2 linked regions of the Arabidopsis thaliana genome follow. The protein of the gene in region 2 interacts with the protein of the main gene of each other region in a pairwise test. Each region holds a gene or a part of one and is shown on either strand. Other genes may lie near its edges.

What was found.
Region 1: the proteins of ATHM2 (region 2) and MYB3 interact in a two-hybrid assay, tested with the Arabidopsis thaliana proteins (one large-scale study listed by BioGRID).

Annotation. Positions count from the first base shown.
Region 1 is NC_003070.9:8,004,002-8,008,133, reverse strand, and holds MYB3 (myb domain protein 3), read right to left. Parts: upstream 2,071-4,132; 5' UTR 1,846-2,070; coding exon 1,713-1,845; intron 1,712-1,712; exon of another isoform or gene 1,636-1,711; coding exon 1,506-1,635; exon of another isoform or gene 1,473-1,505; coding exon of another isoform or gene 1,426-1,472; coding exon 915-1,425; 3' UTR 674-914; downstream 1-673. Other genes in the region: AT1G22630 (SSUH2-like protein), read right to left, coding at 3,967-4,054.
Region 2 is NC_003075.7:1,561,458-1,565,848, reverse strand, and holds ATHM2 (Thioredoxin superfamily protein), read left to right. Parts: upstream 1-1,644; 5' UTR 1,645-1,793; coding exon 1,794-2,037; intron 2,038-2,453; exon of another isoform or gene 2,454-2,612; intron 2,613-2,947; coding exon 2,948-3,264; 3' UTR 3,265-3,646; downstream 3,647-4,391. UniProt on the Arabidopsis thaliana protein: Thiol-disulfide oxidoreductase that may participate in various redox reactions. May activate NADP-malate dehydrogenase.

The sequences.
Region 1 (4,132 bases), on a different chromosome or scaffold from region 2:
AGTGATCAATGAAGTAGTTGTATGGAACCAAAGTGATCAATTAAATAGCTGTTTCACCAAAACAAAAAGTTATGTTATGTCATTTTCAAATTTTTCTTTGAATTCCTAAAATACTTGTAAAGGTTGTAGGTTAGGTTATTTGAAATTCAAAATGTAAGTGGATTAGTATGTTAAAATCAAAAAAAAATGAAGAGAAGACATGCGAATAGCCAAAAAAATAGGCAAGAACTAAAAAGCACATACAAAAAGTGACGACACCAAACCAAACATCATTTAGGTATGGTTTTAACGTCTGCATCAAAGTTGCTCTGCGTATTATCTGCTTGAAATGACTCATTCAATAGTATAATCTAATTAATAGGAACACTTCAAATAGGTGAAATTTGACATCGAATTATATATTGTCTCCACATTTTTAAGTTACATGGCTTGGAATTATTACATATTTTCAGAAACTATTTGTGACGCAAAAAAATGTGATTTCATGATTTCATCGCTTGAATTTGGTAATTTCATTAAAATTTACATTTCACTGAATTTAATTGACATACGTAAATTAAAAAATGAAAACATTAATTCTACATAGAAATTTGAAACCAAAAAAAACTCTTAAAACATATGACGTATATCATATAACAAGATTAATCACAAATAAAATGTAGTATTAAATTAATTAGTTTGCTAGATTATGAAATTATAACATTTATAAAAATTACCGTTTTTTAGCATCTGCAAGTACAACATGCCCTAATTGTTGTTTTTATAAATTTCTTTGAGCACAATCTTTTGGCTTTGCCATCAAATAATTATGCTAGTTTCTTACTTGATGTTACATAACAAATGTGAACAAAAAAAAAACACAATTGACGATCTAAATATATAAAAAGATTCCTAAAGAATTCTCGATTGACTCTCTAATGAGTTCTAACATCAGAAACCCGACAATTCCGACACGACTCATTACGAAACAACCCAATCCGACAACACAAACACACCGCATCACTCTCATGAGCTCCAAACAACTCGGAACCCCACCGTCGAGTCGACTCAGCCGAGTCAACAACACTCACTTTCCGAGTCGACTCGTACCGATAACTCGGTCCAACAGAGAGTTCCAAATTCAACACCCAATCTTCCTCGTTCCCATAATCCTTCTCCGACGTCGTTCCACTACTCTCACAATTATTAACCATACCAATCTCTTCACGCACCGGTTCCGGTTTAACCGGTCCAGAGAAATCAAGATGTATAGTCTCAACGACATCGTTTTGAAGAGACGACGGAGACACGACGGATTCGTTGATCAGACGGTGAGAGTTTGGATCAATCCCACGGCTGAGAAGCTTCCTCTTGATATGAGTGTTCCAATAGTTCTTGATCTCGTTATCTGTTCTTCCTGGTAATCTCCCAGCTATTAAAGACCATCTATAACAACAACACAAAGTTTCAGAATCTTTCACAAATATAATCATATTCTTAAAAAAGTGTGAGAGAAAGAGACTAACTTGTTACCGAGCAAGCTATGGAGCTTGATGATGAGTTCATCTTCTTCTTCAGTAAAATTGCCTCTTTTGAGATCTGGTCTTAGATAATTCATCCATCTCAATCTACAACTCTTACCACATCTTTGTAATCCTGCACAAAGTTCAATCAAAAATCAAATCTTTACCTCTCTGTAAATATAAAGAAACAGAGGATGTATGAATAAGTACCAGCGGCGCGAGGGAGAGATCGCCAGCAACCTTCACCGTGTTTACGGATGTAATCAACAAGAAGCTGATCTTCTTCTTTAGTCCAAGCTCCTTTGTTCATGTGAGCTTTCTCGCAGCATGGTGATCTTCCCATCTTTGTTGATCTCTATATGTATATATGTATCTCTCTACGTGTATTTGGAGGAAATAGTGTTTTATTTTTTTTGCAAGGAAGAGAGTTCCTGTAGGATGGTGTTTTCGTTTTGAATGTTATTTATAATAACTACCTAACATTATTTTAATACCAAAGTTAAAAATAAAAATGTATCTAACAAATGAAATGATGTGTTCGTTTTTTTGTGCCTAAAGAATATTGTAACACCAACCAGAAAACACAAATTTGATTGTAGTACACTCACAGGAGGAACGTGGGTGGAGTTTCCTAACTTTTTTTGTTTTTTGTTTTCTGAGATGTAGATCGTACGGTTTTGGTTATTGACTTTTTGGCTCTTTAGAATCATCTCATCTGCTCAAAAAAAATATCATAATCATTTTACAAATTCCACAATTCATTGCAACATGTACTGTTTTTAACCATTCTTATTGCATATAAAAAAATATAGTCACGCGTAACTTTCGTATAAAAAGATCGATTATAAAAGAGAAAATAACTAAATAACGGTTTAAGTAATCACTAATCAGTTAGTGAATAAAGTGTTTTTAACATCATCAAATTTACTTCTTAGTTTCTGTAACGATTTTGTAAACTCGTTTTAATATCAATAAATTTGTTTAGCGGAAAATTAAACCAATTTTTTTTGCATTATTGAATTAAACAATTGTTTACTGCATTATTAACAAAAAAAAGTACTTAAACCTAATTTTGGGAAAATGTTAAAAAGAACAAAAAAAAAGTAGATCTGGGAGAAAGTAGGTAGATAGATTGGGAAGATGAGTAGGTAGCTGTCTTTTTTCATCTCTCTCTTCTCCAATCACTCTCTCCACACGCTACTTCCTTCACGTACCTCCACGTGTCCTTTCTTATGATTTTATCACATTCCTCTCTCCTTTGTCTCTTCAATTATAAAAACATGAATATTATTTAGATTAGTTGGATAACTGAATTATTGGGTTTGGGCATGTGTACTTGGTCCTTCTTCTACTGTTGTGTCTCTTAAGTTTTTTTTTATATTTTATTTTCGGATTTCACATTGTAACGACGGTCCAATTAAAGAATACATTTTTAAAATGAATTTACTAGTAACTTGTAAGGTACTTAAATGGTATCAATCAACATTGGGATGATTTTTCTTGGAAATTGGAATAACGTCGCTATAACAGGCGATTAGATAAATTAGTCGCATAGAATCGTATAAATGTTAAATGTTTTTGTCTCACACGCCCCATACGTATTTTAGTCCTTTGCACTTTTGCAGAAGTTATCAGAATTCTTTTCAATATTTAAAGAGGAGTTGAATTTTACAACAGTGATGTAATTCTATCTAAAGCTTAATTTCATAAGTTTATTATAGTTCTGTTTTTCTTTCTCAATCGTAAACATTTTTTCTTATATAGAAAACCCCGTACAATCTAACTACTATTCAACGTAATTTAACTACTGTTCAATCTTCAATGTTTTGTCATAAGCTAGTAATCTATGCTTAATTAAGAAAGAAACATAAGAAGAGTCATGAGCGGATGGGCCTTTTGTTCATAGCATTGTATTGGTCATGGGCCATTACTTGCAAAGCCCAACATGGCTAACCGCAAACAAGCTTCTAATTTCATCACGCTACGCCAAATGCCAAACATTGTTGTACAACACTTCTACCTTCTGAGTCTTCCTGACTATTGGCTAACATGAACTACGACGTTCAAAGAAAGGTTCTTCGGAGGTACACTGATCGATATGGAATTGGAATCGAAGGTTCCCTATGCACAAAAGAACATGGCGAAAACACGATTCAAAAAAACATAACGTCCGAAGCGCAACTAAAACTTAATATTTCGTGTTAAAAGCCAACTAAAAGTTACATTTCCGTTTTGTAAGCAGAAAGTGTGACTATTTTATGTGTTCTTAACAATATATCATTTTTTTTTTTACTTTGTTAATATCACTTTCTCATTTCTAAACGCTTTGTAATATTCTAGCGAAAATATAATTTATTAATGATTTTTATTTTTACATGCAAATTATACGACTGAAATGTTATAGGAATAGAGACATGTTTGTATCACAAAATTAACTTATGTAGGAAAAACAAATAGTATAAGTCTATCGTTCCCCTCTCTGTTCAGGCGTCAAGCCTCCCTTGCCACATTTAGGACAACTCTTCATACCAAATCCTTGACAATCAAAACATCTGCACATATTCAAAATCCCAAATTAACTCTCCTTAAGTACTCATTGAACTGTAAATTTTTAGATTGATATTTGAGAA
Region 2 (4,391 bases):
GTACAATTGGGGGTTTATATACAAACTGATATTGGCCTAAACCATAAGCCTCTAAACCAAAATTAAGATTGGTTTATAGAATACCAACCTGTACAGACTCTATATGAAATCTATACTAACCAAACTAAGCTTATATACAACAATCTAAGCTATATACATTAATAGACGAAATTTTTAAACAAAACCCAGGATTCGAACATCAAATAACCCATCCCCAACGCAACAAATATTATCAACCAACTTTTCATTTCATCAATGACACTGTGAATCATATAAAAGAGATATGATGTCGGTGTTGAAGATAACTTCTTTATTGTAAGATTATTTTGATCGAATAAGCTGCCTCAAATCTTCTAATTTCGACAACTCTTTATCTGTGAGGACACTATGAACACGTTTGTAAAAATCCATCACTTGGTCTCTAGCTACCACCATTTTCTTTCTTCGCATAGGGCTGGGGAATAATGAGTTCTTACAGTGAAAACATAAGTGGTGACCGGACGCATTGAACCTAACATCGTAGAAAACATTGAGGAAATTTTTGTAACATAATAAAAAGAGACATGTGGAAAGAGAAAACAAAAATAAAACAAAATATTGAGAAGAAACCAAGAAAGGAGGAATTTCTTTAGTAGAGAGATCTACCGAGATTATAAAGAAATTGAGGAGTAGAAGAGATGTCAGCGAGCTAAAGTGACATCAGAGGAAAGACTTTGAAGTGGTTCCTCAATACTAGAGGTATATAAGAAAAAGAAAAAGAGGCAGATCCAAAATGTTGGTTTTGAAAGTTTTATAGATTTTTAAGATTTTGTTTTTGTTTTCATTTTTCAAGAGCTAATTGTCATACCATTACCAATCAAGTTTTAAAATGTTGGTTTTCCAAGAAAATACTTTTGCTATAATCTTTTTTTTTGTCATCAGATATTATTTAGGATTCAACGAACCAATTTTGAAGAAAATTGTTAACAAAAGCGAATTTTTCATGCCAAATAGTTTTTTATTCAAAATTTTAGACTTTTAGTTATCTTATAAGCAAGCGTTATAATTTATTTATTTTTTTAAAGAAAATTTTGAGAAAAACAATTGCGAAAAAATGTCAGGAGATCTTCAAATGTTCAAAAATACAAAAAAAAAAAAAAAAAAAAAAAAATTAGTGTGGGGTAAAATAATACGTTTAAATTTTATTGACTTTTCATTTCAATAGTCAACTTTTAGTGACTTCTTATTTCAGTCGCTAACTTTTTGTTGATGTTGCCAAAATAGTCATTAAATTGACCCGAGATCACAAATTGCGGGTAACGGAACTTTGTTAAAATTTCTGTTAAATCCACAAGTGACTGGATTAAAAAAAAAAAGTGCAACTGGCCTAATATGAGCCCAATAAAAAATATCTCAAAAGTTTTATGGGCTTATTACAGATGGGCTTAGTCAGAGCACTATCTTACCCAAACAATTAAAAAAACAATTTACAATATGTTTTCGTTTTCTACTTTTTTCGGTTATTTTGGGCAAATGATATCTACAGCTCAACAAATCAAAAAAATTCAAAAATATTTCAATTTATTATTTCTCGATTTTTTTCACAACTGTATTTTAATTGTATTTTTAGTAGAAATACTTATTTTTCCAAAAATATTTGTTTGTGTTGATGTATATATAAAAAATCTGCATCAGTGTTTTGTCTACATTTTCTCTTCCATTAGTTTCGTTATCTTTTTATTTTCTCTATCTATCTGGATATTATTTTTTCACTTGGGGATTTGGAGAAACCTCTCCTCTCTCTATCTATAGCCATGGCTGCTTTCACTTGTACCTCTCGTCCTCCGATTTCTCTCCGCTCCGAGACCAGAATCGTATCCTCATCACCATCGGCTTCTTCTCTCTCTTCTCGGCGGATGTTCGCCGTCTTACCGGAATCATCAGGTTTGAGAATCCGTCTTTCTCTCTCTCCGGCTTCGTTGACCTCGATTCATCAACCTAGGGTTTCTCGATTACGAAGAGCCGTCGTCTGTGAAGCTCAGGAAACTACTACCGATAGTATGTTTTCTCACTATTCCTTTTTCGATTTTGGTTATTAACTTGTCTTTGATTCGTGCTCGTTGGTGGATTTTGAGAACTGATTATTGATTTGTGCGAGGGAAATTAGAAGCAAGGTGCTTGAATTTGTGTTGTTGTTCTTGTTGTAGCATTTAGTAATCTGCTAAAAACTTGAGATTAGTTACAGATTAGTGAATCTGGAGGAGGAAGAAGAGTTTCTTTAGGAGAGTATACCTTTTGAGAAAATTCTTGCTGAAAATGAGGTTTCTGTTAGAGGAACGATTCATGCCATTTGCGTGAAATTTGAAGAAGGTTGCTTTTTAGGATCACTTCTTTTTTGGGGATATTTTACTTGATTAATGCAAAGTCTCTCTAACAAACCTAGAAATTAGGTTGGGTACCTACTCAGATATTTTATTGGTTGGATCATACACATTGTGACAAGAAACAGTTATTTGGCTCATGAGAGAAGAATGTTGCTTTTTGTGCTTTAGAGTAAACATATCTTGATTCTCTATACCAGCAGATAACGATTTTGGTTATCACTAGCATTGATATTCTACGATTTTAGATAGGTAAGTCCTTTTCCGTGATAATGTGTTTGGTGAGATTAGCAGTATTATCTGCTACAATGTTAACTCAGTCATTGGTCTCTCCTCTCTGGTGAAAACATAAAGCTTTATCCTTCACTGGATCTATCAAATTTCTATTTTGAAAAACTTTCACTTCTAGATCATTTTTAGGAAATATCATATAGACTTGCTACAACATACTGATCTAGCTGAAGATGGATAAACGGGTCAGCTGTCTCTTTGTTTTATTCGTCCACCTTGGCTGATATATTTTGTTTTCATTCATGATTCTAAAAGCTTTGGCAATAAGGTGTTGATTTGTGTTATTGATCCTGCAGTTCAAGTGGTCAATGACTCGACATGGGACTCTCTAGTTCTTAAAGCAACTGGGCCTGTAGTTGTCGACTTTTGGGCACCATGGTGTGGACCTTGCAAGATGATTGATCCGCTTGTAAACGATCTAGCACAGCATTACACTGGGAAGATCAAGTTCTACAAATTAAACACTGATGAATCTCCTAATACTCCCGGCCAGTACGGAGTTAGAAGCATCCCAACGATCATGATCTTTGTCGGTGGCGAGAAGAAGGATACAATCATAGGTGCAGTGCCCAAAACCACACTCACATCTAGCCTCGACAAGTTCTTGCCATGAAATATCACTTGTGGAGTCTGTAAGATCTCGTATCTCTCTGTCTCTCGTTCTTGTTCTCATTATCTCTGTAACTCATTATCACTGAACATCTAGACCTGGATAAATAATATGATGTCATGTCTTATGTCATTTTTACTGGTTTGAAGATGTTTTGAGATGCGGAACTAAAGGTATCAAAGAACAATCTTGGACTAGACTAATGGAACCACATTAAAATGATTCCACCAATCTTTTTTTGGTCATGAGAGAGATCTTAAGATTGTTTGGTTCTGCAAGTTTTTTGATGAACACACGCTAAGGTTTGTTACTTATTCTAAAACTCCTCGTATTAAAAGATATTATGCGACACTCTAATGAATGAGCACATGTATGCAAAAGGGGCTAAAGGTTCATACATGTCCTAATCTAAAGAAAGAATATACGTATTCAGCTGAAAAAGGTCTTTATCGACCACGAGCAAAAGAGAATAAATACGTTCGAAATATCTCCTTATTTTTGCATAAGCAAAGAAATTCATCCACCATAGTTTATGTGTACCCAATTTGTGGATAAGGATATGTCAATTAGGACAAAATGAATAATAGCCGAAAGAATTGAGTTATTTTTGGACTGATCCCACAGTTCCCGACAAGCTTTTGAGGTTTTAGAGTTGTTGATCCGGTCTATGACTAAAGTTCGACCAAAACCAAGTTATTTAGTTTGGACAATATAAATCAGAAATATCAAGAAGATAAATTATATGATTAGTTCATAAAGTTTTAGTTTTAGATTGCCAAGAAAATATTCTAATATATTAGGTCTGAACGAAAGTGTTAAATCTGATGAAACCTCTCTATTGGTAATGTCTTTTTTTTTTTTTTTTGGTTGCCGTCCTTGGTTTGAGAATTATATATTTAGGCTGAAGATAAGGTCAAAAGAAAGATGCAATCCGGTTTTATAATAATAGATCAGTTGGACTTTTATAAATGCATTTTCGTGACTTTTGTTTGTATCAAACAACTTTCATTATAATATTATGATTTGGACTTTGTAAATGGTCTTCTCGTGTCCTTTTGATTGTATCAACTTTCGCGACCTAAGAAGTCACGACGACGTACATAAATGGAACATGAGCATAATGATCAAAA